2 linked regions of the Caenorhabditis elegans genome follow. The protein of the gene in region 1 purifies or fractionates together with the protein of each later gene. This does not show direct contact. Each region holds a gene or a part of one and is shown on either strand. Other genes may lie near its edges.

Region 1 (17,593 bases):
GAGAATGATTTTAGGTTCAGGCTTTAATTTCAGGTCGTTTGAAACCATAATTCATGAGAAATGAACATGAAATTCGTAAATGAAGTGTTCTCAGCATTCTAAAAATACATATTTCGACCCCAATATCTCAATTTCATTTTTTGTCATTTTCCGGAAGCAAAAGTCCGATTTCGTTTTTCGGAGCGGATGACGATTTTCGAGATGAACATGGTTTTTTGAAATTTTTTAATGGAACCTGATAGAGTAATGAAAATGATGATGTTTCTTCCAAATTTCAAGTTTCTACGTTGGAAATGAAGAGATTTATTGGCGAAATTGGATTTTTTCGAAAAAAGGTCTGTAACTTGGCTAAACATGGAAATATCAAAAAACCTAAAATTGATAAAATGTTGCCAAATATTTTTCAATCACTGTTCAACAAAATTCTTGTTCCGAATTTCAATAGATATTGGGTTACGACAGATACAATAAAAAAGTTCTGCAAGTTTTTGGTGACTTTTGGTAACATGTCTTTGACTCTGTGAAACTCAACATGTAACTTGTATTTTGTAATGAAATCTTTGCTGAAAAAAGAAAAAATATTTTTGATCAATTTGTTTTTTTTTCAAGATAATTTTTCAAGATACGCCAGTTTGAAAATATGCAATTTAGCGAGGCTTCTAGCTTTTAAAAATTTTATAATGCCCTAAACGAATGAATTTCAGATTATCAATGTTCAATCAGAATCTAGTTATTTTTGTACTTTTTCATTCTAAAGAACGTGCAAAAATAATGCTCCGTGATCCTAGATTTTAATCGAACGTTTCAAATTTCCCTTGGGAGCTAATATATGCTTGAAAAATCTCTAAAATATCAACAAAAAAGGCGGCAAAGCAGCAAAAAATAAAAGATGAGAAATAAAATTTGTAATTCAGGAAGTGATTCAGTTAGTTTTTCCTGAGTTTCTCTGCCTCTAACCCCTACTGTAATCATTTGTCTATTCACATTGTCACGTCATCTGATCTTGTCTGCGTCTCTCTCAATCCAACACTATTTCTTCCCATCCCAGATAGCGCGGGCATCTCTCTTTGTTGTAAATTGGCGGATGCTTGAGAGAGCTTCAAACGGATGCGCGTTGAGCTCCAATTAGAAGACTCTAACTTTGAAGAAACTCAAGAAGAAGACGAAGAAGTTGAAGCTTTTTCCACTTTTACTCACTTATAAAGACAATTTAAACCTTTTTTATTTAATTTTCTCTTATTAAATATTCATGTTTCCTTTCTTTATTCTCCCTCATCATATTCTTCATCTTCACACTTTGAGTTATCCTATTTTGTATCCTAATTTTCTTAGAATGACGAATTTTCCCTTTGTAAGGACTGTTTTCTTCTGAATTCGGTGTTTGTGACATAGAATATATTGAGAAAATATAATAAAATTGGTCCTACCACGGCTAAAACTTTCCAACTACAGTATCTCTTTTATTTTCCCGTTTTCATCAATTTTTTTTGTTTTTTTTAGTTAAAAATTGTTCAAACCACTTTAAAATGTTTTAACAAATTGAAAACTATAGGTTCTGTAGTTGTTTTGTTCGCCGCAGAACCCGAGAATAAGATTTTGGGTATACATCTCATTTGTTGCTGACTCGTTAAATCTCTCATTTTCTTAGAAAAAATAAATAAAGCGCCACTTGGCACAATACTTCTAACTTTATTCATTATTTCAAACTTTGAAAAAGATTTTCTGATGCTTTAATAAATTGCAAATAGGTCTAGACGGTCTAGACAACTTGAGCTCTAATTTAGTTTGAGAGCGTCTTGATTTCTGGCAACTTCTACAAGTTCCAGTTTTTAAGTTTTTTTCTGGAATTTCCTAAAGAATTAAAGGTTTTTATTGAAAAAAAAGCCTTTAATTTTAAAAAATAATCACTTATTTAGATAGCTGAAAAATAATTTTTTCGTTTTATGAGCAAAAAAAACAAGAACTCGAGTTTTAGATGTTTTTTTAAACAAAGTTTGTTTTGAAATTATTGATTTATTGTAATATGTATTTGATTTTATGTGTATTATTTTCTCTTATGACACGATTCGTATGGAATCGTATTAAATAAATAAATAAATAAATAAATAAAATAAATAAATTCAAATAGTTTTACCGTTTTTAAAACGATATGACGTCATATTTTAAAATTTGCACAACCACAATCTGCAAGACTACATTTCAAACTGAGTTATGTTCCCACATTAGCTCATATTTCTATTTATCCCGGAATTTTTGAATATGACGTAATTTTTTGTATTTTGCAACAAAAAAGATCACCAAAAATTATATTTACTCAGAATCTTTTTTTTTTTTGGAAAATAAAATTGTTTTGTCCAAAAAGTCCAGTTCTCTAAAAGTATAAAAGTTAGATTAATACCAGGAAGCATAATTTTCTTTTAAAAGAGAAAATAGTATAATCAAATCTAAATCAAACAATAAATTTTCCAAGAACTTAACCAAAAATCGTAACTTTGTACTTTTAACACAAACGCAAAAATATTTATTCAGTATCGCTGCGAGGAAAAAGTTTATGATACAATTTTGGATTTTTTGGAGAGTTCGTTGTTTTTTAATGCGGAGCAAAAATATTTAGATTTTTAAAAATTTTCAGTCAATTTTGGTAAACTGCCAAATTTTACAAAAAGTGATTTTTTGAATGAAATCTAGAGGTTCGAACCCCTACAGTTTTTGAATACAAACAATGGAAACGTAATCAATTAAAAAAAAATCGTAGAGCATTTTTTTGGTCGACTTCCAGAATTATGATAAGTGAAAACTAAGTTTTCGCTCCTTTATTGAAAATAATAAAAAAATGTTCGGAAAACTACAAATAGTCGCAAGATCTATTTGAAATAAACTGTAAACTTCTCTAGGCATCTATTATGATCACTGTGCACATTACTTGAACATATTTCCATGGTTTAAAATATCAGCATATCATAGTAAAACTTCTGAAATAATTTTTTGAAATGTTTTTAGCCTGCCAAAATATGTTTTTTCTGTAAGTTGTATTCTAAATATTTTTCAAACATATGAAATTTCTATACATTTCTCGAAAAAATGTTTACTTCAGATCGATTCTAGTTTATCTTTGCCAAATTTTTTTCAGTAAAAAAAAACAATTTTTGTGCCGTCAGATGCTCGAATTGAACTTTTTCCAAGTGATGTCATATCCTCCTCAATTTGAAAAAGTTGTACCATATGATGAGAAAAATTGATGTGGAACAACAACAATAAAAATTGTATTTTGCCAAGAAAACGAAACTTTTCGATTACATTTTCCTTCTCCGGACGTCCACTTTGCACAAGTATAACAAAAAATTGAATATTTCCTTCTCCTACTCCGCCTACCCAGTTTTCTTCTTGTTTTCACATTTTTCTTTTGACTGGGAACACGTCGTAAGTGGCTATTAGTCTCATTTTCTTTCCGCATTGTTCTGATGACTCAGTTTCAATTTTGAAAAATGAATTTCAAATATTTTCTGTCAAGAAAGGGCGCTCCATTGAACTGTGCAAACACTATAACGCAAATCTATACACTACATTTTATTGAAAACTTGCATGACGTCATACGTTCGGCCCTGTGTCGATTTACGGAGCTAGTGTACTCCCCGAGGAGAAGTGTGTATTTATTTTTCACAGGGTATTCAGTTTTTTACTAAAATTCTTCACTTTGAAGCATTTTTCTTAGCGATTTTTGTATTTAATATTAAAATTGTATTTTGATTCTCGGCTTTCGGTGCAAATCGATACATTTAAAATTTTAAAAATACCAAAAATGTTTCAACAGGAATATTTTTCCAGTAGTTTTCCGAAAAATATATATAGAACTTTCTCTGAAGCAGTATATAAAATGTTAAAAATCAAAAACTTTATTAAGAAAACTGTAAAATCCTATCAAAATTTAAATTACAACTTCTTCTCAGAGAGTACACGAGCTGCGTAAATACAGGGTGGGCCAAAAGTATGGTAACACGTTTGCAGCTCTATAACTTTACTAGTGGAGAGAGTTATTACATCAATTTGTACAAGTTTTGTTCTCCATAAAATACTGACCAGATGAACGTTTTGAATTTTCAAAATATTCCCATCCGCATCGCTGCAGGCCTTCAGAACTTTTGAGATCACGACCTTTATGGCACGCAAGTCGGCATTCTGCGAGATTTCTACATTTTTCTCGAGGAATCCATCAAGTGTCTTACAAGTTTTTATAGTTCAAAGAATGCTCTTGGTCTAGAGATTCTTTAAAAACAAAAATCCAAATAATTTCTATCACGGTATTTCTGTCATGGACTGCGGCAGTAGGTTAAGTCTTGAATGTCATAGTCGCCAGAAAGATGGATGTGAGCGGCGAGTAGCAGTATGCAGAAAAATTCATTTTAGTATTTTTCGAGACGTTTTGACCTGACTTTCCAGAAGTTTTTTAGAAAATTGAGCTCGGATGATTTTGTGGGTCGTTACGCCTTGCGAAACCAAAAAAACTGAGTCAATTTCGCAAAGTTGAATTCATGAAATATTCAAAGGTTCTTGCTAGGCGCCAGTGTCGACAGAGAAAATTTTTATATGCTACAAAAACAATTAAAAACGCTTCTTCACTTCTTTAACTTTAAATTTAACATAAAAATCATACATCTCAAAATTATTGGCGTGCGTGGGAGGTGTGTTTGTGTGGGAAGTGCCGCGTGCCAAATCACCGTTTTTTCGAAAGGGTTCGCCAAATTGTCGAGGTGATAAAGATCGCACCTTATTGGGAAACATTACAAATTTTGAGTCAAATTGAAGGAAATTTATTCAGCTATCAGTATTCGATAGAAGAATGTACGTATGACGTGGCCGTCGCGCAAAAAGCTCATGTAAAAGAGCGCTTCATGTGTTACCATACTTTTGGCCCACCCTGTAGACACAGGGGCGGACATTTTTCCGTTTTATAAATTATAGAGTTTGAAAGCCCGTGGTACATTTTTTTTAATCTGAAAAATTTAAATAAAGATCCCAAAGATTTTCTTGAGATTTTCGACGTCTAGGGATTTTCGGAAAATGTCAAAAATGTACGATTTCGTGAAATTATTTTTTGGATTACTTCGATCTCTGTGCTTTCATTTCCATTGGTAACCTTTTGGTAATTGACGAATTACTGCAGTTCTGAAAAATTTTCCCACTTATGTGACAAAACTTCCATGCTTACAAAAAAAGTATAAATCCACGTGTCCATGTTGCCAACGACTACTAAATTCACATAAAGTTGTCAGAAAAACTTTTGAAAACTTTTACGACAAAAGCCATAGAAACAGTGCTTGTATATAATAAACGAGATGCAAGTTTCCCACCAGTTTTCACTTTACTTTTATGTTTTCTTGTTTTACAATTTTTCAAAAAGTTTAGAACTTTTCCAAAATTATTGTGTAAAATGTGCACTGGAATTATTTGAACATTTGAAAACATTTGATCTATGTTCCCATGAAACTTCCGCACCAATCGAGATCGCAAGAATCATTAATGAACAGGACGCAAAAACAAGCAACTCATGGGAAATTATTATTATTTGGTCTCTTCGGAAATCATGACGTCCTTGCGTTTTTTTTTATTTCAAGGATTTCTTAGTGCTTTTCTTCAGAAAATTCTACGGAATTTTCAGAAAAAATTTTGTAAATCGCCTCCTTTTTTCTCTAGTAGTTCACAATTTAGGTATCGTAGAAACACAAAATTCACATTAAAAATGCATTTTGAACACAATATGCAAATGCGCTCTAACGCCAAATCAAAACGCTCCGCCTCTAACAGCTGGGTCTCGTTAGGTATTTGGCGACAAAGCCATGAATTCAAAATTTTGTTAATTGTCATACATTTTTCGTATTTTTCTTATACTTTCCTCTGTTTTCAATGATTTTACGCCGAAATAATTTTTACAATTCATTTTAATTTATTTCATCAATTTCGGAAAGAAAATAACAAAAAATCACGAACAACTTTACTTTGGTATTGGAGCGCGCTTGCATCTCCATTTAAAAAAATGAAATTTTCTACGTCTCCATAATAGGAAAAACTATGAAAATTAATAAAATAACTGTTAATATCCGGCAGTAAAGTTTCTTCTGAACCTGAAACATCTGAAATTTTCATTATTTTTCTTCGCTTTTTAACATCAAAAACTAGGTTAAAAAGAGATTTGAAAAAAAAATTGTAGAGATGACGTGTTGGTCATCCGGCATCTAATCAACTCTCTATTCTGTGTTTAAAAACACTGAAGACGGACGAAAAAGTTGTATTTTTTTGCTTTGAAAATTCTCTCTCTCTCCTTTCTTTTTTTTCTTTTTTCATCCAAAAATTCGTTCACGTTCACAAGTTTTCGATTAAGACATTTTAAAAATGGATCCGCCAACCCGGAAATTAACGCTTCTCTTTGCATTGTGGGAGAAGAATTTCATGTGAGAAACAACAACAGCTTTAAGTGTTCGAAAAGCTCAAGTCTAAAAAATTCAATTTCCCGCTGTCATCTGTGTTCAAACTCCGCCCATTTTGCAAAATTCTTTAAATACGTACAATACTTTTCTGGATCTAGTTATGCTACAATTCTCAATTACTTATAATTCTAAAAACTAAAATTTAATAAAAATCTTTAATTTCAGAATCGGTTACTCGCTTCTCGCGGTTGGCATAAGCGAGTATCTGTGATCCAAATGTTCTCGACCAGAGGGGTACTCCTTTTACTGTCTTTGATGGCTGCTGTAGCCGCATTCGGGCTGTTTTCTAGACCGGCTCCAATCACTCGGGACACTATCCGACCACCACGTGCCAAACACGGTTCGCTGAAATTATGCCCACCAGGTAATTCATTTTAGGAATTATAGAAAGAAGTTAGCTTTTTGATTCAAAAAATAACTCTAATTTCTAGGAATTCAATGTCTAAAGTCGTTATTTTACAGGTGGTGCCTCATTCCTTGACGCTTTCAACTTGATTTGCCCAATGCGCCGTCGACGCAGGAGTGTTTCAGAAAACTACAACGACGGCGGTGGCAGCCTTTTGGGACGGACAATGAATATGTGCTGTGAGACGGGATGTGAATTCACTGACATTTTCGCAATCTGCAATCCTTTTGGATAAAAACGATCTACTTTACCCTCGCTTTACTGGAACTCCAAATAAAACAATTTTCTAATTCTTTTCTCTGAATCTTCCATCATCTTGTTCTACCGTGCGCCAGCTTGACACTCTCAATCCCATCCCGTATGTCCACACCAATCATGCTTGTTGGGTTTAGATCTCATAAATATTTCGTTAACAAAATTGAGTTGTATTTTTCAGATATATATGATGTATGTTACTTTTGAAGTTTTTTAATTTTAACATTTATCGCAATGCGACATAACAATGAAATTATAAGACTTAAACTTCTTGTTGGACTGGTGGCTCGTAGTCGTCTGGGCGATCAACCTTCTCACCGTCGGCTCCAACGGTGATGGAGTCTCCGTGCAAGTCGTGAAGACGTCCAAGATCAACCTTTGGTCTCTTGATGATCTTGACCTTACGGATGTAGACTTCTTGGAGTGGGTAGAGCTTGGAGCAGGTCTTCTCAATATCTTTTCCGATGGAATCTGGGATGAGCTTGCTGACAACCTCCTTAAGGTCGCATCCGGTGACCTGCAATAAAAAATTTGTTTTCTTTCATTAGTTATTTTTTGCTACATACCTCCTTTTCGATGCATCCGATCATCTCGGAACGGATCTTGCGGATCTTGGATGTCTTGGTGTAGGAAGTCTTCTTGACTTGGTTGACGGACTTCTTGGTGAAGGCGATAACGAAGACACGGAGAGTGTATCCATCAGTGGTCTTGACGGCGGTGTTGGCCTCGATGAGAGTATGCCACTTCTTGACGATGGAGCACAACTTATCGTGGGTCATCGACATAGCGTGGAAGTTGGTGAGAACGTTCTTTCCCTGGACATCTTCAGCGATGAGCTTGAACTTTCTGAAGTCGGCCTCAGAGTTGTTCAAGTCTCCGAGTGAAACCTCGAAGACACGTCCCTTAAGTCCTTCGGAAGCGATCTTAGTTCCTTGGGTTCTGTTGATAAGGGTCTTTCCAACCTGAAAATAGCATTTATAGAATTATAAAACAAAATAAAACGTTACCTGGCGGGTGTTGAACATGTTTGGGGCCTTGATGTCGTACCATTCCTTGCGGGAGAATGGATCCACGGCCTTCTTCTTACCTCCCTTCTTTCCCATCTTGTTATTGTTCTTTCCGACCGCCATGATTGAAGCGGATTGATGCCAAGCTGTGTCTGAAAATAGGAATACATAATTTAACAGTACAAATTGAGAGTATAAGCTAAAAATTCGACGGAATTTTCCACTCGACACATGAGTTTGCAATAAGATATTAATAAACACTTGAATAAACGGATAACTGTTTGAAAAATTGATTTTTTTTCAAAAATTGCTGAAAAAATAGGAGGGAAACGGAAAAAGAAGGCACGGAAAAGTCCTAAAATTTGCAATTCTCGAGTTGCGTCGCAAGTGTATGCCATACACTCCGCATGACGCTCCACAATGCGTATTACCGTAGTCACAGCGCGTGAGAGACATCTTCTCTCAAACAGACCCGTTTTCATTCGTTCTTACGCTTATTTCAGACGTCTTTCCAGATTATGCGAAAATAAAATTAAAGCATGCAATTCGTCTCATTTTCAGCTGCCATTTCAGCTATAATAGTTGTCATACCTCTCGTTAATCGGAAATTAATAGGCCAAAACCAAATCCATTCAAATTTTGGCGCTAAATTTTTGAAGATGTGCGCAGCGCCAGAACTTTTATGTATTTTCCAGCTCTAATGGGTTTTCAGTTGCTTCTTATCAATTTTGGTCGCCAAAATAAGTTTCTGCGCGGTAAATCGCTATGCTTCGTTTTTTTAGTTAGACATAACAAAAAATCGATATAAACTCGATTGCGATACGTTGTTCTTGCGCAGCTGGCATTCTCTTCTTTTCTGACTGCGATGGATTTTAATGCTAATTGTTGAATAACTAATCATAGACATTCGATTTTTCAGTGTAAATATGACTAGTCATCTAGACGACGAAGGCCTACACCCAATGGTCTCAACCCTTCTCGGAGGGGGCACACTTCCGACGGTACCGTTCAAAGCGTACACCAGAGAACGAATGATGGAACTGAGAACTACCAAAGCAAGCATGACGAGGCCTGAAAACCTCTCAGAAGATTTCAATGGGTTAGTGGTACAGTACGCAAAATATAATTGCATAAAATACAATTTCAGCGAAGATGGTAAGTTTTCTCCTTTGAAATGGCTTGAACACCGTTGGGAAATCGAAGGAATTAAAAATCGTCCGATGTCGAAAAAAATTGATTCGTTATGCGCTGGCGCTGATGAAAATACGGGTTTGTCTCCACAACGGAGAGCATTTAGCAGTGGCTGCAAAGCACCAACAGACGACAAAGGACGTGACGGTAATCAGCTTGGAAATACGAGTTTGATCATAAACTTTATTTTTCAGGAGAGTACGAAAGATTGGGAGGGCATGGAAAGAACTGGAGAAACGGAAGTACCGGTGGTGCCGATAAATTTGCTTCGAGAGGAAATGACTTCAAACCATCCTTCGTACGCAGTTTCAAAATATAATGTTTCATGTTTTACCAAACATTTTTCAGCAGAAAGGTAACCAGCTTGAACGTGGTACTCGTGGAGCCGAATGGAAAAAGGATACGACACGAGGGGCAAAATTCGCACCACGGAGGTTAGTATTGAGTAGTAGCTAAAAATAATGCTGATATTTCTAATTCAGAGAGGAACGCCTTACGAGCTTGAGCGGAAGTGAGAAGCTGCCAGAATGGGCTGACGGTCCCACTACAATGGACGATATGATTGAGTTGCGCGGATTTGATGAACCAAAAAGTATTCCTAATGTCTCCTATTTATTTTATAATGTTATTCTTTTCAGAAGTGAAGAACAAAAAGAATCCAAAGGAAAAGAAGGAGAAAGAAGCTGTGAAAGCTCCGGAGCCAGTGGAGTGCGTTGGATCCCGTCCGTCATCAACTGGTCTCAAGACTTCTGAACCTATTGACGATCCAGCAATTGCTTATTCTTCTTCGGGAGGAGGAGCTCTTCCGGCTACGGATCAGGAACTCGCGGCTCTTCTGGGATGTCTTGACATTCAAAAAACATCAAGAAAGATCGATGGCGACGATATGGCTTGGGCGCACAAGAGTGAGGAAACTGCTGGAGGAACTAGTCGTCTCAGTCGGTTCTTCGCAAAGAAGAACAAGTCCCCTGAATTGGACGCTATGCTTTCGTCAGTTGGAGGCGGAAACGATGAAAACGTGGCTAATCCAATGCTTGCAAGACTTTTCGGTCATAGTGGTGGTGATAACAACGCTTCATCTTCTGGAGCTGGTGATATAAAAGGAGGAATGCGGTTGGAAGATTTGGAGAAAGGCATGGAGTCAAAGGAACCTTCAAAAGTCAGTCCATTGCAAGATCCATCACAACAAGCACAACTTCTGCAACATCTGCAAAAATTCGCCAAACAGCAAGCAGAGTCTGGTCAGCACATACATCATCATAGACAACCAACACCACCAAATGGAGGTCCACAGCATCAACAACATTTGCATCACCCTATGGTTCATCCTGGAATGCAAATTATCGCAGATCCAAGCCTTCTTGCAAGCTTCGCACAGAATCCAGTGATTTTGAATGCCTATGTCGAGAATCAACTTCAAGAAGCAGTCAATGCTGCAATTCGTGCAAACAATGGGCAGCAGCTTCCACCACAGCTTCGTATGTTAAGCATTTTTGAATACATTTCATGATTGAATTATTTTTCAGATGAGCAACTTCGTATGGCATCCATGCGTAACAAGGCTTTCCTACAGTCTCAGACTCTCACTTTCGTTAGTCTTCAACAACAGCATCAGAACATCCAGCAGCATCAGCAACAACAACAGCATCATCAACACAAAGGTCGCACTCCTGCTATGATACCTGCGTCTGTGCAGCGGCAATTGCAGAAGAGCTCCTCAAATGCTGATCAGAAGAAAGAAAAGACGAGTCAGAGCCCGCCAGAGAGCAACCAAGAGACTTCCGACGCTCATAATCAATCTGATGCCATGAACCAACTGAAGAAATTGCACATGCAGCAGAACTATGCCAATATGGTGCAGGCAATGAATTCTGGAGTCGGATGGGCACGCGGAAACGGCGTTGTTAACGGACAACAGCAACATCCACAGCAGCAACTTCCACCAAATGTTCAAATGCTGATGGCTCAACACCAGCAAGCTCAAATGCAGCACCTCAAGATGATGATGTCCCGTGCTCAACAACAGCACATGTTGATGGCAAAGATAGCTCAAATGCAACAACAGCAAGCCCAGGTACTCGTTTTTTAAATCAATACAAAATTATATTTTCAATTTTAGATGGCTAACATGCAAGAGAGACAGGGACCCAGTCATAATCAGCAACAACACCAACCTGTGGTTCCATCCGAGCTGTCACAGGTGCTTAAATCGAAACGTTTGCCTATTAGTATATCCAATTTGCAGGTCGGGCCAATTCAAACTCCGCTTGAGAAGCTGCTGGCATCGGTTGGAGTTCAGGGATCTCAATTCACTGGTTCGTGCTAAAATTTTCTAATTTTTTGCTAATTTAACTTTTTCAGGGTCCGGAGATCGAATTCCATCGTCGGTCCGTCCAATGTCTCTGGAAGATCTCGAGAAACAGTTAACAGCTGTTCCAAAGTAGAAATATGGGTTTAATTCCCTAGTTCATAATAGCAACTTTTTTTTTGTTTTTCCTACCTTCACATATATTCAACCATGTTTATCGCTTACCATCCACCAAGCGGGTACACATAGTCATGTATTCGTATTATTTTTTTCTTCTCTCTTGTTCATATAATCCCATCTCTTTCTGGTCCTTTTCTCCCTCGTGTCCCATCAAAATTTCGCTTTACCGTCGCTATTTTCTTCGGTTTTTTGTTGTTCGGCATTTCACTGAAATCGAAAAAAACAGCGGGGTGTCCCCCCACAACCTTTGTTGGTGATCCCTTGATAGTTTCCGTAATGCCCCATAATAAGTTTGTTTCCTTTTTTTTAATTTTTACTTTTCTAATTATGTTCCAAGTTTTGTTATATTGACGCATCTTCGACGTGTTTATATATTGGTCCCCGCTGCTCGAGTGAACCTCGATAGATTGTAAAGCGAACTTCAGTGAATTCAGAATGATTTGCATTTTTAGTTCATCAGAACTCCATTCTCAATGATTTCACTTCTTTTCCCCCAACCTACCGCCTTTTAGAACACACTGTTCTCTCTTCCTCCCCTTTTCTTGTAAGCTGGTTTTTCACTTGTTCTTCCCCTCACATCTACCCAAATCCCTTCGGAAAGTTTGTATAAACACCTTCGTAGAGAATTTCTTGCATCCCGTCGGATGCGTAGAGGATCTCTCGAAAATGCGAAAAGTTTTATAAGGGTACACTCATTTTCAATTCCATCTCCCACTCAATTTTACATCAGATTGTCCCTAAAACGTTTTTGTACTTGTACAAGTTTGGTGTCCACATTTTGTTGGATCTCGTCCACTCTTGTTCTCATTATTTTTTGTCTCCTTTTGTGCACCTCCCATGTTGTGCCACGTTTTTCATAAGCAGTTCACCATTCCAAACAGTTTTTTGTAGACACATTTTTCGTTTTTATTTTAGAAATGAGAGGTGATGTGTTCTATAAGATGGATTTGGATTTGGATAAAATGAATAATTGAAGAAGATTTTAAATTTTTGGTTTTGCAATACATGGCGAATACAGAAGGAAAGTGAACTAGCAAGACTCGACTAAACCTTTTCCGAATTCTGGGTTTGAATACATATGTCTAGGTTTCTATTTAAATATAATTGATGTTTCTTCGTTTCCTAGTTGTTAAATATTTTTGAATTTAAAACTATTTCAAGAAAAGAAAGAAAAACCTGTGAAAGTTGCAAAAACTAATAAGCCTACCGTATTCACAGGTACGGTAGTTGAAAAGTTTCTGTCGTGCCAGAACCAAGAGTCGCATTTGATGCAAGGAATCTCGGAGTCTAGTTTATAAAAAATTCCAGAAATAAGTTATAAATTTACAAGACGCCGAATTGCTTAACCATTAAGAGACAACACCGAGAGAGCGTTGACTGTTGGAGTGTGGTGCCTGCTATTTGATATCCTTTCGAGGTGTGCTGCTCTCGTGGCCGCGTGGCCTAATGGATAAGGCACCAGACTTCGAATCTGGGGATTGCAGGTTCGAGTCCTGCCGTGGTCGAAAGTTTTTGCTGAAACCATGATTCAAATGTTATTTTCAAGATAAAGTCTTTAGTGGAATTGATTCATGTTTAAAATCGAGTAAACTAATTCATTCAAAATCATATTTCTTTCATTTTGTAAAAACCGAGTTCTTCTAATTCCTAATTCTTCTTTTCCTATGATTCAAACTTGGCTTTTCTCCATCCGCCATCTCCAACTTTCGAGTTATTCTTCTTCAATTTGTTCCGTCCATCCTGCTTGTAGTCAATCACACATGTATGATTCTTTGGATGACGATGACGATCACAGAAGATTCTAAGACACTTGCAATGCATGGTCTGTTGAGCTGCGGAGAGCTTCTTGAAACAAGTCTGAAATTTGATTTTATTTTGATTTCAAATACAATAGAAACACTTACATTACACTTGGTCTTTCTCTCCGCTTCGAATTTTTTCAAGTTCTCAAGCAATTCTTCTTCGCTGCTCGGAGCAAGAACCATCGAACGGCGGCATTGTTTGTGTTCCTCAATTGTTTCAGGTGGATCGAAGAAGAGCTGTAATATAATAAAATAAATCTTCGTAGATTTCATATTTTTCACGCAAAACTCTTGCCACTAATAAACTTTTCAGAAATTTTTAATCGAAGCAGAAAAAAATAAGTGCGCGTCTTTAAAAAGTACAGTAACCCACTCCTCGTTATTTTTGGGAAAATATGCAATTTCTAACTTGATTAGTCCTCCCGAAAATTTAAAAAATACTTTCACACATTTGAGTGTTTGAAAATAGTAAAATAACTTGAGCGGGTTACTGTACATGTTAAAGGCGCACACCTTCTGGATAATGCCGCCAAATGTCTGCTGCTTAACTGGCATATTACCTTGAGTTCTTTTTCGGTAACAACCTCGGCATCACTTTCCGGTTCACTTCCAGAGCTGACATGAGATGAAACTGTAGACGGCGAAGACAACTCTCCGGGAGGAGTTGCAACCGGCGAGAATCTGGAATTACTTTGTATAAAACTGCTTTTTGAATATTCAAGCGTTTCACGGTATTTCAGAGAAACATTCCAAAAACTCACGTTTGCGCAGATCCGATTTCAGAATCAACCGGTGTTCCAGACAAGATTGGTGCGTGTTTCTTACGGCGAAGCAAAGTTTTCATTCGATTTCTAGTGAACTCATTTTCCATTTGCTTCTCCGGTGTCCAAAGACTTGCATTTGCATCTATGCCACTCATCTTCTTTGGTTTACGATGTACCGTATGCATTCCTTTGATCTCCTTTCTCAGTTGGTCTTGGTTAGTTGGGAAAATTGGTGGCATCATGAGTAAAATGTCAGTTGTAGTAGGATTGCTGAAATTCAGACATTATTATCAGCATTTTTTGTGTCCTTTTTTGGGTTCACTTACGTAACAATTCCTGTGCTCATTTTAACATTCATCGTGATTTTTGCATCAGAATTAATTCCACAATCAGTCATTGTTTTGTTATTATCCTTGAGCTCCATTCCTTTGAAAAGCAAAACCTGTCGATTGGTCAAAACCTCGGTTTCTTGTTCAATTCGATTTTTGAGAATGCTAACTGTTTCTTTATCTTTCATTTCCACCACAATCTATAAAAAGAGCTGATTCTTTTCACTCAAATTTCGCGAATACATACCTGTTTAACTCCTTGCATCACACTGCTTACAGTAATTTTCACAATTTTATCATCGTTTGGAGATACCATTGGCGAATTGTTTTCACTTGATGGATCCATGATATGCTTTGATGATCTGGTTTATCGATTATCCGAACAAACTTGGGAATGACAGAAAAAGTGAAATCGATTGTTTTTAAATACAACTTTTTACCGTAAACGTGAATGTTTTAAAAAATTGTTTTACGTGAATTCTTTAAAAAAAATTGAGTTTAATATTTTTCTGTTTCTATGCCACATTGAGAGAATTAAATTGAAAAGTGGCGGAGTTCTTTCATTATCACATAAATATCACCGAAAGAAGAGTTAACACATGTACTAATTATTGCGATAGGTCAATTGGCAATCCCATTAACACGGAGGATGTAAATGTCTGCGTCTCATCAGTTAAAAACAGTGACTTGGTCATGAATGACCTCTTGTTCCCTCATTTGGTATGGTAAAAGAGGAAAGAACTGTTCCCGAAACAAATATTTTGTCATTTTGCTTTTTTATTGATTTCTTCCTTCTGCAAAAAGTTAACTTCTTTAACTTTTAATCCCTCAAGTTCCTATTCAATTTGTCTCCAAATTATCGTTTCATGCACTTTAACACTGTCACAATCTGTAATGATAACAATTGTGGCAGAGATTCGGATACGCATACAGTTAGACATTTGAATGTTATACACTATCATTCTATTCTAATTCGGCGCAATGTGCAGAATGACACTTTTACAGACGATTTTCGCTTTTTTATATAATTTTTAATCAATGAATGTCAAGCTGTTCTAGGACTGAGAAAGGAAACATTGATTTTTTTTCGCTGAAAAAAAAAGAATGATTCATAACAATGTTTTGGAAATTGTTTTTCAGTTTTTGATTGATTTATCACAATTACACACTCTGCATTTATGACCCCCAAGCGTACCAAAAATACGGTTACAAAAAGGCATGCGCCTTTAAAGACTACTGTAATTTTAAACTCTTATTGCTGCAGAATTTTTTTTTCGATTTTTCATAGTTGTTTCACGATTTTTTTTGAATTGAAATACGCGTGTTTTTGTCCTATTCAAGTTTTAAATGAATAAATCAATTAAAATTATTTTTTATCAAAAAACTATGAAAAAACTATAAATATCCCGCAGCAACAAAAGTTTGAAATCTTTCTTGAAAGCGCACACTCTTCTTTACAACTTTCGATCGTGTCGAGACCGGCTACTGTATATTATATTACAACGATCTGAACCTTTTTCTCCAAAAATTCCACTTTGCAAATCTGTCTTATTCCTCTCCATTATTTTGAAAAAAATCACTTGAATGCCAATCAAATTCTTATCAAATTATATCAGTCAATAAACTTTCTTCTCATTCAAGAACAAGAACAACGTTGCCTTCAATTTCACACATTATAAAACAAATTATAGTCTAGTATTTGAATTTCGTTGTTTTAGAAATTTCGAAGATTTCCTAGGAGTTCTAGGTGTATATCTAAAATTATTTTTGATTAAAATCTATTCTTTGCCTATTAAAATCTTCAAATTTCTCATTTGAAAACTATTTTCATTAGAAATTCCACATAAGGGCGCTAAGAGGGCTGGAAGAGGCGCCCTGTGTCGCCTCTACCGCTAATGAACAAACGACGTGCAATTTCCGAACACTAATCATTAATCGAAAAAAAGAAAATAAAAAAGAACAGAGATTCTTATCAAATTTGTCATTTCTCCGTCTTTTTTTCTCTCATTTTTATTGGGAACACTGAAACACATTCACAAGTGAAAGTGTCAAGTGGTTGCCATTTTAATTGAAACATTTTCTTTAATTCTTTTCAATAGATTTTTTTGTGTTTTTCAGAGATGAGGACGTTCCTCATCACCTTGGCACTGTGCCAACTGGCTCTTTCTTGCACATTGTGCCATTTTCGTACTCCGCCACGACCAAGACCATTGGATCAGTACAAGCTTCCAAAACTAGGTGGAAAGAATTTGGATTTGGAGAAAATGCCAAAGTTTTGCAATGCTTCGAAGGAATTACCAGTGATGGATTCGTGTAAAAAGCAATTTGAAAAAATTTTCTGCTCAGCGGATAGATGGACAGGTAGGGTAAAAAAGGGTTTTTTTTTGTATCCAAAGATTTTCCAATAAGCTTTTGAAATCTGTGGATAACGGAGTGGTTAGTAATCTAACAGAAATTTTAGGCAGGCAGGCACGTCTTCAAGCCTACCTGAAATAATATGTACATTGGCATTGGGCATGTTTGTAGGCACAAGTAAGCCATTTTGTAGGTAGACAGACAGGCGCTGTTAAAATTTGTTCGGTATTATATAATTTAATAGGAGGCAGGCAGGCTCGTAGGCAGGCGGGGATGAGGCAGGATTTTTTTGACTTTTTAGGAAACATCTCTGTTTCTTTTGCTTCGAGATAAATCGAATGTCTATTTACATTCCTATGAGTTTCAGACACCTTCGGAGGATGTCAATCAATTGCCAATAAATCGTTGAGTGAGCAAGAACAATGCTCAAAATGTGCTTATCAAAAAGCTAATAACGGATGGGTACTCAAGTGTATGAAACTTTCATAATATAAAAATATTGAATTAAAATAAT
Region 2 (15,886 bases), on another chromosome or scaffold:
AAAGTATAATCCATTCGTCGGCGGAACATGAGCGGAACCTTCAAGTTGTTTCAGTTAACCCACAAAAAACTTTTAATTTACAGTTTCAGTGAGACGGGTCGTCACATGCTCCAATTGGTGAGGTGCTGGTTTTTCATGAGAAAAATCAATGCTAAAGGACCGAGTACACGCCGATAATCTAGAAGTTGCTGCTGTGAAACGACATGTGAGCAACATCTGAAAAGAGGCGAATGAGCAAGTTAGTAGATTGAACTGTTCAAGAACTACGTGAAAAGGAAACTTCGCGGCCAATTACCATTTGTTTTGTAGGACTCTTAGACGGTATTCAATGCAGATCTTTCATTTGATTCGAATATACTTGGAATCATGTCAAAAACATATAGGAATACAATCAAGCTGAAGATAGAGCCGCAAAAATACTCGGCAGTGAATAAATACTTACAAAAACGGGATCGATTGATAAATGATAAAAATGACAATTATAACACACGGTGGGAATAATAAATTAGTATGCAACAAATTTCAGCTTCACAAGCTACTCTGCAGTGTTCTCGGGGTTGACTGCAACGTGTGCTTCAACATTCTCATCACCACCTTCTTCTTCAATTGCTCCATCCTCTTCTTCTTCTTCACCCTCCGCTTCTTCTTCAACACCATCTTCTTCTTCTTCTCCCATATCTTCCTCTTCTTCATCCTCTCCTTCTTGCCCATCCGCACTTTCATCTTGATCAACCTTCAGTGAATCACTTATGTTCCGACGAGGAATCCTTTGTCCATTCTGAAAATTGTTCAAAAATCCAGTAGCCTCATAATGGTGTTTCTAATACCTCATCTACACCGCGCTCCTCATTCAGAAAGTCTTCGATATCGTCTTCTTCAACTTCCTGCATGTCGGGCATCACGTAGTACTGCAAAGGATTGACGTACAGATCGTCTTTGATCACTTCAGCAATCTCATCACTGTCTGGTAGTGCTGCGTACGTGAGCCATTCAAGAAACGTGTGAGCTGAATCTCCGTCTTCCGGCTTCTGGAAGAGTTACATTGCGAAAGTTTTAGAAAAAATTCGATTAAAACAATAGGGATTATAAAGATAAACTCACGAATGGCGGTTTCTTGTTCTCCTTCCACTCGATTTCGGTAATTTCGGTGCTCGGTGACTCAGATTGCAGATGATACGACTTTGTAATTACTTCGTTTGTGAAGTACTCATTCGGGTCAAATGTCATAATTATTTTGAATCCACTGCGAAGATCTTCAAATTCTTGCACTTCAAGATCTCGCAGAGCGGCTAACAAGTCCTCTTGTTCTTCCGGAATAGCAGTTGAAAGAAGATGATGATTGAGAAAAGCAGTCTGCCAGAAATTGTCGATTTTTGTTGTCAGCTTCTTTCTTTTTTCATAAATCGGAAGACGTTTCTGATTGAAAATCTGCTCGACTTTCAAAACTTCTTCGGCAGCGTTTTCACTCATCACATCTAGTTGGTGCTGAATGGCGTCTAGTTCGATTAGCTTTTCCTTCACGGGACCAGCTACTTCGGATCGGAGATTTGGGAACTCATCGGCATTTTTCATTCGCTTTGCAGCCGGCTCTTCGCTCATATTTTAACTGAAAAAATTGAAGATTAACGGCAAAGAGAGCTTGTTTAGTAGAACAACAAAAGGCAGGGCGAGTTTGTAAAGCAAGTGTTCAACAGAATAAGCGCAAACGCACTGAAAATGCGCAAATAGTGTTGACTGGCGCATATTTTGAATAGAGCCTAGACACTTTTGATTTAATCAAGTGATTGATCAAGCTTACCCACAATTAACAGTTTTATAAATATCGACAATTTATGACCTAGTCAAGAACGCGAAGCTTAAAATTTAAAAAAATAAATGTATTATTATCGGTTAAACGGTTGGGAAAAAACTAATTAACATGCATGCATATAAAGTCTTTAAAACCGTAATGTTCTCATATTGAGAACAAAGCTAACTTGAATTGCAATATTATTTTGCTTTTTCATGGTACGTACTTAGATAGTTTTCGTGTTGGAACATATAACCTGATTTTCAATAAATTTGAAAATTGAATCGATCAAAAAAATTTACTACATCCTGCAATGAGGATCAAGAAGGAAATTTCGGATAAAAATTTTAAATGAACAAAGAAACGAAAGAAAAATACGTACGGGCAGTATCGGAGCCATTGAGAAGAAAGAAAGATAGAAAAAAAGAATCACAATTATGATCCGTGGCAGGTGCAATTTATTTTGAGATTGGGGAAGGGATTAGTGAGACAGAAGGCAATCGGGAACTCGAGCGGTGAAAATTGGAATACATTCAATGATTCGATGAATTACAATATACATCACAAGATTCGATATTAATTTCGAGAATTTAAAATGGGAATGGGCGCTTTTGACGATTGGGCCAAGTTTCTATGGGACAAGAACACGTCGACTAAAACTTATTATATTCACAAATGCACGCATTATTAGTTAGTATGGGGGACACGAATATTGAAAGTGTTTAAAAATTTGACAAATGTAGAGAAGTTGTTCACCACAAATTGAGATGCTTGGTCATATTTTCGGCCAATTGATCGAATCCTGGCATTGGAGAGAATGGTCCGTTACATGACATCATTGGATCAGTTGCGACAGATTTCATCAGAAGAGATTGAGCAACAGCAGAATTTGCGAAATATGCAGCAGCGGCAGCTGCGGATGCTGCATTGAGTGACGAAGAACTGAGATCCTGAGAAGGCGTGGATCCAGCAGATGAATATCCAGAAACTCCTCCAGGAGTATTTTGCTTTCCGAGCATTCCGAACGAGCCAGCATTTGGAGCGGAACCCAAAACCATCGAATCGAGTGGACTAGCTGGCCGATGTGCCATATTCCAAGCGTCTAGAGCAAACATCGATGGATCCAATGGCCAGCGAGACGGTGGATAGGTCATCGCACCTAAAACAGAGGTCATTAATTGCAACTAGCTGCCAATTTTTACCTTCCGCGTCATGCAATTCCTTCGTTGGTAGCTCATATCTTGGACCACGAGTACTAACAGGAGTTGGTCCTAGTGGCAATTTAGCCGCTGGCTCATCTGGAGTTGATGGCCTGGCAAACATTTCTAAAGGATGCTGAATGGCAGAAAGCGGGGGAGCTGCAATGCGACCATTAGTCATGATGTGCTGCTCCATTTGATCACGAATGTCAGCCAATGCATGGCGTTGAGAAACCTGAAAATGTTTACAGTGAGCAAAAATACATGTTTTCTTCTGACTTCAAGAAGTTTATCAGCGCGAATGTATGCGTTTGGTCCATGATCGGGATGAATGAAAAGGCACCGTTTCCCGTATGGGCAGAGTCCTGTAGTCGTATATTTGTCACAGAGTTTCGTTTTATACTTATTGTTCTGCAGCGGCTCGACGCTAAAAATTGGAATTAACATAATTTGTTTGCTTCATTCTTACAATGTTGGACGAAGTTCCTCCTCTCCATGTGCAAACCGGCAGTTGTCTGCGAAAGAACAAGTCTTAGATTCGAGCCAAGCTTGGCAGATCACAGTCTTGTATGATTCTGGTTTCTGCATTCGGGCTAATCCGCGGCGTCTAGGATCAAACTGTTGAAATGGAGGTGCAACCTGGTTGTTCTGGGGAAAACTCTGAATCGCGCGAACTTGCATCGATTGAATATGTTGGTTGCTGAAATGTAGTAAATTGAAGATATTCAGGAAATTAGCCAACGCACAATGCAATATCTTCAAGCAACTGCTTTTTGATAGCAATCAAGTTAGCAGTTTGAGTAACCAAATCTCCAATCTGGGCATTCGGATTAGTTTGAGACAAGTCCTTAGCGTGATCGAGTGGTGAAACGGGCAAAGTTGGAACGCCAGCGAGGGAGCTCTCGAGATGATGCCTTTAATAACATAAAATTACTTTTTCATTTGAATTTTGTTAAACTCACTCATCGATCTTCTCGTTGTTTTCACCGTTAACGTTCATATTGATGCAGTTGAGTGGATGTGAATAGTGTAAGTAATCGGGTGCAGGGAATGCTTAACAATCAACACCGGAGATACTCGATTTCCGGAAGATGTTGCGAGCTGTAAGTTCTGAAAAAGAAAATCAAATGATCCTACTGAAAAACAAAAACACGTTACATAAAACAATACTTGAGTGCGAACAAAACAGATACGAATGGCATTTATGAGAAAATATCACATTTTGGCGCCGGTGCACAATAAAAAAGTTTAAAAAAAAGTTTTTAATATAAATATGTCAGAATTTCCGGCCGAAAAGTAATATTTGAAACAAGGAATACTCAAGAAAAGCCTGAAAAATGGTTCCTTCATATTACGCGGGGGCATAAACTACGGTCGCACTGTTTTCACGTGTGCGATTTAAAATGATGTGCGTCTTTTAGGAGTACTGTAGGCCAAAAGTTTTCACGCCTATAACTGCTTGTAGTGAACTGATATGTTATTATAATCAAACAATTTATGCACTAATTTAAGTTAAAAAAAAACATATTTATTTTTTACAATCAAAAAATTATAGCGACAAACCCGTGTGAAAAATCAGGAATCTTTAAAAAAAATGAATGGTTGAAAATATCAATTAGAAACTTCAAGTTCATCTTCGATTGAAAAGGTACAACCTTCGAACATCAATATACGTCCAAATATACGAATAGATGAAGAATATTTCAAATGCACCAAATACCAGCAATGCAACTCTGAAATTGATAAAATAGTATACCCTAGGTTTCCTTTTTTTTTCAAAATCCCACCTTAATAAAATAATATCAACAATTTTATAACTCCGATCTTGTCCATTAACCTCTTCTCTAATTTCATCAGGAACTGTGATTGTCGATCCGATTACCGCTCCTGTAATCTCTCTTTTTCCAATTAAAAACTGTCAAATTTGGTCGTCCGGTTCACAATCTCTCAATATTTGCGAAACTGATTAAAACCACACCGAAAAAAAAACTTCGCTCACCAGCATATGCAAAAAACAGAATCGTATTCAAAACCATATATGGTAGTAAAAATTTGGGTCTCGCACGGAAAACTGCCATAATAAACATTAAACTGAAGGTGAGGATCATGGTGATAAGTATGGAGCAGATTACTGAAAAATCCATATTTCTAAATAATTCAGATTAAATTTATTTAACTGTACCAATAAATTCAACATAATTCTTCGGTGTTTTTTGAATCAATCTTATTAATCCATAAACGTAAAATGCAAATAAGAAAATTGCATTGAAACTGATTCCAAATATTGCAACTGAAAACATATTTTTTAATATAAATTTTTCATCGACTCCCTTAACATTCTTGTTACCCTGTTTTTTATAAATAAATAATCCATCGAAAAAAATAGCCTTGTTATTTATTTTGTGATCAGTATTTTTAGGTTTGATAACACTTGTAAAACAAACAAAACAAAAATGTAAACAATTTTATAATGATTCTCATGTTATTTTTGTTTTCAATTTTTCTATTATTAAGAGATAAGCTTTAATGTGTCAAAAATCAAATAAAAAAGAGAGAAATAATGCCTGCCTGCCTTCACCTCGCGCGCCTTCTGTACACGCAAACGTTGTTTCTTTCATTTGTTAATTTAACTTTCATCAAATAAGATGATAAAATAAAGATAATTGTGTAAATTAACACTGTGAGAACAAAATAAGTACATAAGATATGAAAAAGTAGGCAGGCATAGGTAGGCGTGTGGGAACCTAGAAAATAATCCCACTTTCTCTCGAATTAATTAATAAAAACTTCTCAAACTAACTTTTATGAACACCAAAATATCCACAAAGCTTCGTTGGTTTAGGCGCTGTTGGCATTGAAAAATAATTTTGATCCGTTGATAATTTATCAGAAATTGTAGACATTGTGATGAAAGTGTTGGAAACTTCTGCAAATTTCAGGAATTGAATAAAAAAAATAAATAGGAGGCTACAAATCACTGTATTTGTTTCAATGATTATGATACGAACCTATTTAAGTGAATTTTTTTGAACTTTTGCGGAAAAGGGAAATGGTCTGATAATGCATATTTTTGTGGTGATAATTTTGAAGAAACTTTGATCGGTAACATTTTTTGCATAGATGAAAGTCGAAGAACAAGAACAATTCTCAATATAAATTTAAGTGGGAAATCTTTAAAGCACAGGAAACCTGGGAGCAAAAAAGTGAAGAAATGGCAATATATGCATATTTTGATAATTTCATGTATACACTATGATAGACAATTTAAATTTGAATTAGAAAAGTTCGTGACTATAGTTACTGACTTTTCTATACTGCGCTAAAGTTTCCAAGTGGACTCTCCACGATTTCGCTCTACTTTTCTGCTTCTTACTAATATAACTGATCAGAAAGTCTTTAAAAAATAATTCAAACTTGTATTCAAACTCTTTCTCGTTTTACAGATTTTTTTATAATTTTGAGACAATCAAAGGATAAAGACAAACCTTTCTTTTTAAGATCCCGTTTTGTTTTCATAATTTCAGATAGAATTGTTTACGAAAACAGGATGAAGATTATCTGAAAAATTACATTATATTCAAAAAAAGAAAATTAACTAAGTAAGACAAAGTATTTTAGTAACCAAGAAAAACTTTTTCACGAACAAAACAAATGGCAGCTGTCTGAGATAATCGGTGAAACAAAATCTCTCAAATATTGGCTAATCTTAAAATTACTACTGGAAAGTATGTCAAACTACTTTTTCCAAATGAAACCTCTTTCAGTCAAAAAAGGAGGAGCCACATGTCCATTTTTACCATTAAATGTTTGCGTATCGAAAACTTAATCGGCCCGAACCGAGACACTATGAGGTCAACATGTGATGATGAGAGAGAGAGAGTATGGATCAAGGTATTATATAGAAAAAATACTGAAAGAATGCGGGGAAAATGAGTCATGATAAATACTAAAATAAGTTAAATATCGTTTTGAAAATATCAAGAGTTCTAGAGGAATAAAGTAAATTGAAAAATTCATAGTATAGTTTTCAAAAGATAAATTCCTAACATTGAAAAAACTTAAATTTTTCAAAAATCCGAAATTTGATCTTTAATTTCAAAATACTTCGTAACAACCCATGCCTTTAATTAATAAAAGCTTGGCAGATGCGACATCTTAAATTTTTTTAAATTTTGCGTTTTTGCTTGAATTATTCGTTTTTGAAAGCAATACAATTTTAAAATGTTAAAAAAAATCATTAAAAGAACCCAAAAACGCATAACATTTTCCTGATAAAGTTTATTTTCAAAAAAAAATTATATAAACTTTTTCATTTTCTCGTAACTTTTTGAACTAATACCATTTGAACTCTTCATGATCTTCAAAAAGTCTTCACTCATTTTTTTTCTCATCTGTGCCGTCCCCAATTTTCCTGCTCTATTTATTTTCGTCAATCCCAAAATCAAATCAAACCAAAATCAATCAACGAGAGTACAAATAGATGGACAAGATGGTTACGGAATCGAAAAATGAGAGAAAATATATAAAAGAAATGCTCGGATATTGCGCATTTTTTTGTGGGAAAAATGAATTCTAATCACATGAAACTTGAGAAAATATGAAAAAGTATAAGAAGTATAAGAATTTTGAATGATATCACTTATTTATAAAGTTGTTGTTTCAAATGTGTATTTTCAATCAACTGTTAATCAAAAAATAATCAAAAATTACTAACTGATAAAATATTGATATTTCTAAAATGAATTGGTATAAATATATGATTCCAACGTTAACATTTGGATTATTGAAAATATGGGATAAATTGGCCTCTCAAGTAGTAAAATGTTTTTTTAAATTTAAAAAATGGTTGATTATTTCTTCATTCAAAAATAAAAATTACTGAAAGTAAAAGTTTCAAAAACCATAGCAACAAAAAATCAAGTCATGCAAATAATGAAAATATCAACGAAATTCTTTAATTTCCACTTGAAACAGTAAATTGAATAGAAATTTCTCTGAACATGTTTTATGATATTTAAGTGGCTAATTTTATAAAATGGATGTATCATGAAGCAGATTAAAAATATCATACCGAAATGATTGGCTTGCGAAAAAAGTGAGTTCCTGACCTATTTCGGTTTGAAAGGCATTTTCTTCGAAAAATGTTTGCTCTGGAGTGATTATCTTGCTCTGTTTACATATCAGTGTTCACCATAGTGAGAAAAATGAAATGAAGTGTATATTGGACATATTATAACGAAACTTTTGAATAGGTTTTTTCAGATAAAAAAAATGACAACCACTTAGTTTTCAGCTACATATCACAATTTTGGAAGTCGGCCAATTTTTGACAAATATTATATTCCAATTACGTTTGATTTTTTGGTGAACAGTTTAGGAATAAACCCTACAGTAAAATTGTTGACTTGTTATAAATTACACACAAAGTCCAATAATTTAGAAAATTTGATTGAATACAAAAATTTTGGTTGATTTTCAAGTATAAATAATTGAAACATAATTAGAATATTAAAAACACATTTTTAGCTGACACTCAAAATTATGATAAGTGAAGTTTGAGCTTACTTCGCCCAATAAATAATTCCAGCTAAAACAAAAAAGGCATCTTGTTTTCCACAGAAGTCAGAATGAAAAGCAATTCATCTCGAAACATTTTTGTTTGCTCAATCATATCTTCGTCATCATAAAAATTTTACAATGGGTGCGGAAAGGGAGCGGAGGTACATGATACATGCAGAATTGTGAGAAAACTAAACTATGATTATTTATCTTCAATGCTCCATGATGCTCTACTGCATCTCTGCCTCTTCGTGTACAAACAAACGACTCAATCTTTACTTTTTCAAATGGAAAACACTGTCTCGCAACTTCAAAATATTTTTTTTATGAATTGGACTTTTCATGGAAATATACAATTTAAATTTTTTGGGAATTTAATCATGTGTCAGTGTTGTAAAAGATGCCTGTTAAAAATACTCGTTTTCAAAAATCTTGTTTTTTTTCTAAAAAGCTGCTTGGAAGTTTTAAAAAGTTGAGTGACAAATCACGAATACTCCAAAGAAACACACAAAAAAAAACTGAACAAAAAAGAAACATCGAAATAAACATACGTAGTTTAATCCTTTTTATATAAACCGTCTCATGACCTCTTTCTAAGAGTTTGGAATGTTTTTTGCTTGAGGTAAAAAAAACTTAAATGTTACATAAAATTGAGGTCTAGGACAACACTCAAAATATAAAGTGCGAACTTTCACCTATGTGATTTTTTTTTCAATGTATCGTGCTCGATCAGATTAGTATGCAGAAAAAGGCAGAGGCAAAAATAGCCGAAAAGGTTGAAACCAAAATATGGGCGGGACCCTTTATTACTTTTCTGAAAACTTTCCGCTTTTTTTCATACAAGTTTTTTTTTCGTTTGGAACAAATGTGTTTCTTCAGATTGATACATATATTTTCAACATTAATTTTAGAAATAATAGATCCCGGCCATATCTCGGTTGAATTTTCGTTTCTGCGTACAACCTTCTTACTTCTCGGCACTTTTTTTCAGAATTTTCTTCGTATCCTTACCGGGTGAGTAGAACAAAAAACACGAGTATTTAGCTTTTGGAAGGGAATATCAGGAATGTTTTCTAGAATCGAATGGAATATAATAATATTATTTGTAATGTATATTTTGTAAGGAATTGACTTCTCAAATAGATGTGGCTTATCAGTAGAATTTAATGGGTTTCTAAAGTTCAACAAAATATGGTGGTGATCTAGATAAAACGACTTCCGCCCTCCAAAATAATATCACCTGAAAAAGGAACCGGAAATTAGAAAAAAAGTAGAATAGTAATTTTTTAATGCGGATATCTGAGTGAAACTGATATTTGATTCTGGATCGGCAAACTTTTCTGGTTCTTGTGTATTAAATAAAAATTTCATTCATTTGTTAAATTTTGTCAATTTTTATTTAGAAAAAGAAATGTTTCCTCATTAGGCTTTGAAATGATTATTTCCTCATTTTAAGACTAACTATAAGAATACTAAGACGTTTATATTTTTCATAACTTGACAATTTTGATTTTAAACTGCTTTCCGATCATACACAAGAACCGTTTTTTAATGCATTTATGCGAGGTTCAGTTTTCAAAAAGAAGGAAGTTATCATAAAGTTAAGAAATCTAAAAAAGAATAATACTTCATCTGTTTCTTATCGATAAACATGCCATTCACTGTTTTTCCATCTAATATTTGACAAAAATTTCAGCTTCAAACCCTGTTTTTTTGAGCCACACCCACACAAGGAAATTTAACAATTTGTGAGTAACCACATTGATGACATCGCCTACATGATTGTACTTGTGGCACTGACCAATGAAACTAAAAAGAATACAAAAAAGTCTGAAATATTTGAATGAGGAAATTGGAGTTGAACTGAACTATTTTGTATTTGTTTTTGAATCAAAAGTGAAGTGAGTGAACGATATTGTCACCCCCCAACCCTCAGTGAGATAAGTGGTTTTCCGAAGTGAATCCACTTATAGTGACCATTCACAGAGACACTAAATAAGCATCAATCATTTTGTATTGTAGAATAGTAGACGGTGATTTCATTTCACTGTTTATTTTAAAACAGACGTGAAATGATAATACCCAAATGGACTAATGAAAATGGTAATCTGCTCTTATCTGCTCTTATTAAGATCACTGGAAGTTGCGGACGAACTGCTGAAAGAAATAGTAAAAAGAAAGTTAAAAAAAACTAGTAAAACGAAAAGCATTTTCCAACTTACTATGCCATATGATCTTCTGGTGTAACATCCTATGACTCTCCAAAACAATGACGGTATGGTCTCTCTATTCAACAGAGATATTGGCAGCACCGACTGGAGTTGATTTCAGCATCTGCAATTTTGCCCCTGATAAGTTTGATAACCCAGTTTCACTACTTGAAACCCTTCTAGATTTCCACTGTCCACACAAAGGCAATGAGTCAATGAGAAAGAGGTAGGCGAATAGCGAGGGTAGGCAATGATTTTGGAGTCAGTGGGTATTTTCCTCAAAATTAAAAGCTATAGTTCTCTTGTTTACACGGTTTATTTCCAATCAATTCTCAATTAGAACGCTTTTTAAATTATATTACTGTAACAGAAACTGCGGGTCCTAGAACTGCGTAAGGTAAGCCATTTGAACTCCTCCCGTATATGTATTTCTGAAAAATAAATTTGACAAATTTGAAAAGTTAATTAAACAAACTCACAGTTGGGTACTCTGAGTATAGACCAATATCTGCGGCCGTAAACTTTTTGATAACAAGGAATCCATTCAAGATTTCATAATTAGAAGAATCAACTATGTTTCCGGCTTCATCAACAAATGATCCCTTGAATTTACCGTCAAAATGATAAATTTGATTTCCTCGGTTCATTTTCCTAATGAGAGACTTAGCGCCTTTTTAGAAATTCATTTCAACTCTCTCACCCATCTTAATAACATTTATTGGCTAAAACATTGGACTTAACCTAACCTTCACTTTCATTCCGAATAGAGATGCTTCAGAGCAGGTGAAATAAATGACAATTATAAAAAGAAACGTGACAATAATTTTGTTCATCGTCTGCAAAAAACACAATTTTGAAATAGTAGAGAAGTGTTTAAGGTTTCAAGATCTTCAAACAATAAATGGTGAAATTCTGAAGAAATCGATGATTTTTAAATGTTTGCAAATGTGAAACGTCAATGACTTCGTCACATCATAGCGATGAGTCAATTTTCAATTCAATTGTTCTCTGGTTTGGTGGTAGGTGGGACAATTCTAAATGCCTTAACTTAAAAAAACAAAAATATAATATAATAAAACATTTTTGGTATTGTTGCGAAAGTAGGGGAAAAAAGTAGCACTGGATAAATATTTCTATACAACTAGCCATGCCTTGATGCCAAATATCTATACAAAAAGTTTTAAAATTTCCTGATTACCGTATTTACTCTATTGGTATTGCACCCAATTGTTCAACATTCTCATTTGTCGTGGGTCCTACAAAAATTGTTAATTGACAAAATGTCTGCCATTTCTTTTTCTCTCGGTGCAATACTATTCAAGAAAATCGGCGTTTATTTATGTTCTCTATTTCTATTAGCCCTTGTCAAAGAAGTTTACAGATAACGTGCCATTGTGTCTACTGCAACTATCAAGTCACTTCGAATTGTTCGATCTATCAATCAGTTTCACACTTTTCTTTCAATGTTCCGCTCATCAATTCATCATCTACACTGTAATCATAAGTATCATTATGGGATATTTTGATAGGACCTTTGAACCCCTTACTGCAACAAAAAAGTTCTCTAACAGTGATTAATGATGTTCCAATCAAGTGCGAAATTCGGCACCTTTTCAATTTTTCAGTGATTTTGTGTGCTTCAATTTGAAACTATTTTGATTAGTTTCACTGATTAAACCGCACTTTTTCTCTTTGAAAAAACCGCTACTTGCAAGAATAATAGATGTCTCGAAGTGCCGACAAAAGAAAAATGATGATGATTCGCACTTTCCGACGTGTCTTCAGGTGTGTGACCAATTTGTCATGTTCCTTTGCCGCTATCAACAATATCTTTCACACCTATCCGATACACAAAAAGGTTCTGATTGGATAAGGAGACATTAAACAAATCAGAGTAATTTGTGAAAAACTTGTTATAGTTGTGAAATCTTCCAAAAAAAAAAGGTTCAACATCTAGCTGCAGAGAAGCGCACAGAGAATAGTATAGAAACGTTTCAAATAATTATTTCTAAAAGTTATGAGCTTCATTTTTATTGCTCTAAAAATAGGTAATCATGTATCAATAATGAAACCCGTTGAAAGCACAAAAAATACACTTCATTACCCGCTCCATTCCTTATACACCTTCACATTTCTGGCAATCCTGAACGATAATTAATAATTCTTACAATACACCTGATCATCATTTGTCACCTACTCGTCGTTTTCTTCATTCCGGCGGCAAATTACAAAGGGATTGCCGCCACGCTTCTTCTTCCCACTTCCTCTCATTTCCGATCCGTCTAACAGATATCATCATCAGGCCGTTCTTCTCATCTTCCAATGCTGCTTTACACGACTACCGTATCCTTGAACCTAAAAAACAAGAAAAGAGGCGGAGCGTAAAGGTCTAAACCGATGGGGGTCAAGAAACCGTATTACTTGACAACAAGGTGGATTCGACTTAATTCAACATTTTCTCACAATTTTATCATCATAATTCTGTCAAAAAATGATGTCGCCATCAATATTTCCACCGATCAACTTCCTTTTTCAAAACTCTGCTCTGCTCTCTAGCTTTGCTGCACAAAAAGCTTTGTCAAATGGTCATCCATCAGGTGAGATTTCTAGAATCATCTACAGTCTTAGTGTTTTTTTCAAACGATTTCCGGCTATAAGCGTTTAAAACTTAATTTCTAGGAATACAAAGATCGGTTTAGAACAAGAACATTTTATCGGCAAAACTGCACACTCAAATTGAAAATTTGACTCTCTTTTTCCCATGTTTTATATTCAAAAAAGTGTTTCAGGTTCGTCACTTGCTGCATTGGAAAAACTATCAAAAGCGTTCCGGCGACCGGATCTTCATATTGAAAAGCTTGCTTCGTCATGCATTGATAAGCAAAAGGATTTGAAAAGTTTGTTCAAGAACGTTATGCTTTACAAGATTATTTATTACAGTGACCAATGTGGTCCCATCACGAAATCGATATGGTCGGCCATACATCTCTGGGCGACCACTTCTAACTTGTGATAGGCAGAAAATTGTGGAATGTTATAAGAAGGGAATGAAGAAGATTCATATTGCTAAACAATTAGGGATCACTCACAGCTGTGTGAGTAAGGTTTTAAGAAGGTGAGAACCATTCGTTTTGTTGCTGTTAGTCTAATTCTGTGCCAGTTTTAAAACAACAAAATGTACATCCAGAAATGAGGATTCATTCTAAAGGTGAAACTTTTTCAAATTGTGTTTATGATTTTGGACAATTTTCATTACTTTCGCATTTAGTGCCTCATGTACGAAGAAAAATTAGTTTGTGCTCATGCGAAAGGCTTAGTTTCGTAGAGGAAATGGGAAATTTAGGACTGTTGGGAAAACTGCCGCAATTCTACATTTTCAAACTTGATGTTTCTTTAAAAAATGTTTGCAGGTTTCAAAAATAGTTTTCTGCTTCACTTATCCACCTAAAACTTTAACATATCTGGGCCATTCGTCCCCACGCCTGACAATCAATGTTCACCTACCTACACTACCTACAGTAATCCCGAGTCGGGATTCCCGACATCAATATGCTAACCACTCCATGTCCATACGGGCGCCCTTAAGGTGTCACTCGTCCTTCTCGTCCACCTTCCGCGCACACTTCCAAATTTACTACTAATCGCGCTAAATCAAATAGAAATGTGATGATTTATGCGGACTTTGATATGTTCCCTCATCCGGCCAGTTAAATCTTAAGATTATATCGCCGAACATTAAAAAAAACTGTAGATTTCTGAATTGGAGGTTTCAAGAAAATTATGTTGAAATAGCAAAACGATGGACATGGTGGGAAATGTTGGCTCTTTTGACGGGATATCAAGTGTAAAAAAATTATTATTCATCGCCTTTGCATTATGATACTGTTATGAGTATAAATATGTTTATTTAGGTACGCTGAAACTGGTGAAATAGTTGCAAAAGCATGCCGAACAGCTTCTTGTTCCTGTCCTGGATCTGCAGAAGAACATGATGCACGGTATTGCAAACATCTTCAGGATAACACTATTCGATTATTTTTCTCGATTGAAAAGTAAGTGGTTCTTTTTGTCGATTTATTAATATTATGATAACTAAAATTTTCTGAAAATTTACCAGTAATAAATGAAAAAAAAAACAAACCAAAATAGTCAAACTAATCGCATAAATCAATACAATTATTTTACAGCCTTTTTTTAATTTAGAATGGGGATAAAACATTTTTGAGATTTTTTCCATGATTCAAATTTGAAATTGTGCTTCTCGGAATCTGTTGAGGTTATTAGAGACAAACAAATTTTGATGGTCCACCATTAAAGTTTGAACAAATTTAACATAAATATAGTACGCATACTGGTTGGCAAGAAAACTCGTTACATCCTAGAATGCATCACGGATAGAACGATTCACAAGCTAATCCTCAATCATAAAATAGGAAGACCATACTCTATGTCTTAAGTGAGTTTACAACTTCCAATGCCTCACTCTTTTTATTGCCTGGATATTTTGCGAGACAATGAACCTACTAGACTGCACAACGGATTAAAAAAAAAAATACCGTTCATGGCATTCAACATTACTTATTTATTAATATATTTATTTAAATATTAATTTCTGTGGGATTTTCAGCCTTCTTCGGAATGAGTCAACATCCTCACGTATCATCTATTTCTCAAAGCCGCCATCATATTCAACACTTGAAATTTGAATTATCAACTTTCAAATGCCCAATGACGTTCACTTTGGAAATAAGTCAGAGATTTTAAGTTAATAATATTGTCATATACTTGGAAATGGATTATCAAAGTTTTAATATTACCACTATTGTTTTATCATCGTATGATTTCTCGCAAAATATGTGATTGATTTCTTTGTCCGGTTATCGTTTTTTTCCTGGTTGTCGGAGTTTTACATAAAATTATTTAAAAATATTCTGTTTTTCCAAAGACAGAGAGTCAAACAGTAACACTGATATTTTCAAACGAAAGTCTTAGATCTAAATTTTCATATCTATAGACTGAAATAGTTGAAAATATTTGAAAAAAGGTGAAAAAAAGTGTACAAAAAGTGGGAAGCACAGAAAACAGTGAATCCACTATTTTTTGGGCTTCCCACCTTCCGTCCACTCTTT

The links.
Region 2: the proteins of ifet-1 (region 1) and oma-1 purify together in Caenorhabditis elegans (affinity purification with western blotting; 2 studies listed by BioGRID). This does not show direct contact.

Annotation. Positions count from the first base shown.
Region 1 is NC_003281.10:4,466,627-4,484,219, reverse strand, and holds ifet-1 (Translational repressor ifet-1), read left to right. Parts: upstream 1-9,069; 5' UTR 9,070-9,076; coding exon 9,077-9,249; intron 9,250-9,297; coding exon 9,298-9,488; intron 9,489-9,535; coding exon 9,536-9,639; intron 9,640-9,689; coding exon 9,690-9,775; intron 9,776-9,823; coding exon 9,824-9,933; intron 9,934-9,979; coding exon 9,980-10,819; intron 10,820-10,867; coding exon 10,868-11,415; intron 11,416-11,460; coding exon 11,461-11,541; intron 11,542-11,586; coding exon 11,587-11,656; intron 11,657-11,702; coding exon 11,703-11,785; 3' UTR 11,786-12,817; downstream 12,818-17,593. Other genes in the region: ins-17 (Insulin-like peptide 17), read left to right, coding at 6,699-6,846, 6,945-7,123; rps-3A (Small ribosomal subunit protein eS1), read right to left, coding at 7,406-7,660, 7,710-8,105, 8,151-8,273; mstr-2 (Ubiquitin-like domain-containing protein), read right to left, coding at 13,492-13,686, 13,734-13,868, 14,192-14,312, 14,393-14,665, 14,722-14,924, 14,972-15,070; ndg-4 (Nose resistant-to-fluoxetine protein N-terminal domain-containing protein), read left to right, coding at 16,845-17,085, 17,447-17,551. UniProt on the Caenorhabditis elegans protein: Involved in translational repression of multiple mRNAs in the distal gonad. Recruited to the 3' untranslated region (UTR) of zif-1 by oma-1 and is required for translational repression of zif-1.
Region 2 is NC_003282.8:8,877,188-8,893,073, reverse strand, and holds oma-1 (CCCH-type zinc finger protein oma-1), read right to left. Parts: upstream 4,099-15,886; 5' UTR 3,989-4,098; coding exon 3,951-3,988; intron 3,903-3,950; coding exon 3,735-3,902; intron 3,689-3,734; coding exon 3,458-3,688; intron 3,416-3,457; coding exon 3,268-3,415; intron 3,224-3,267; coding exon 2,992-3,223; intron 2,949-2,991; coding exon 2,542-2,948; 3' UTR 2,075-2,541; downstream 1-2,074. Other genes in the region: C27B7.2 (Phospholipid scramblase), read right to left, coding at 1-38, 82-216; spr-2 (Suppressor of presenilin-2), read right to left, coding at 536-778, 828-1,028, 1,102-1,599; C09G9.5 (MARVEL domain-containing protein), read right to left, coding at 4,619-4,721, 4,776-4,875, 4,988-5,119, 5,171-5,278, 5,789-5,914, 6,474-6,504; C09G9.8 (TransThyretin-Related family domain), read right to left, coding at 11,111-11,188, 11,237-11,359, 11,504-11,590; npax-4 (Paired domain-containing protein), read left to right, coding at 13,249-13,354, 13,547-13,654, 13,698-13,872, 14,669-14,809, 15,385-15,463. UniProt on the Caenorhabditis elegans protein: Zinc-finger RNA-binding protein that binds to 5'-UA[AU]-3' motifs in the 3'-UTR of maternal mRNAs to suppress translation in oocytes and embryos.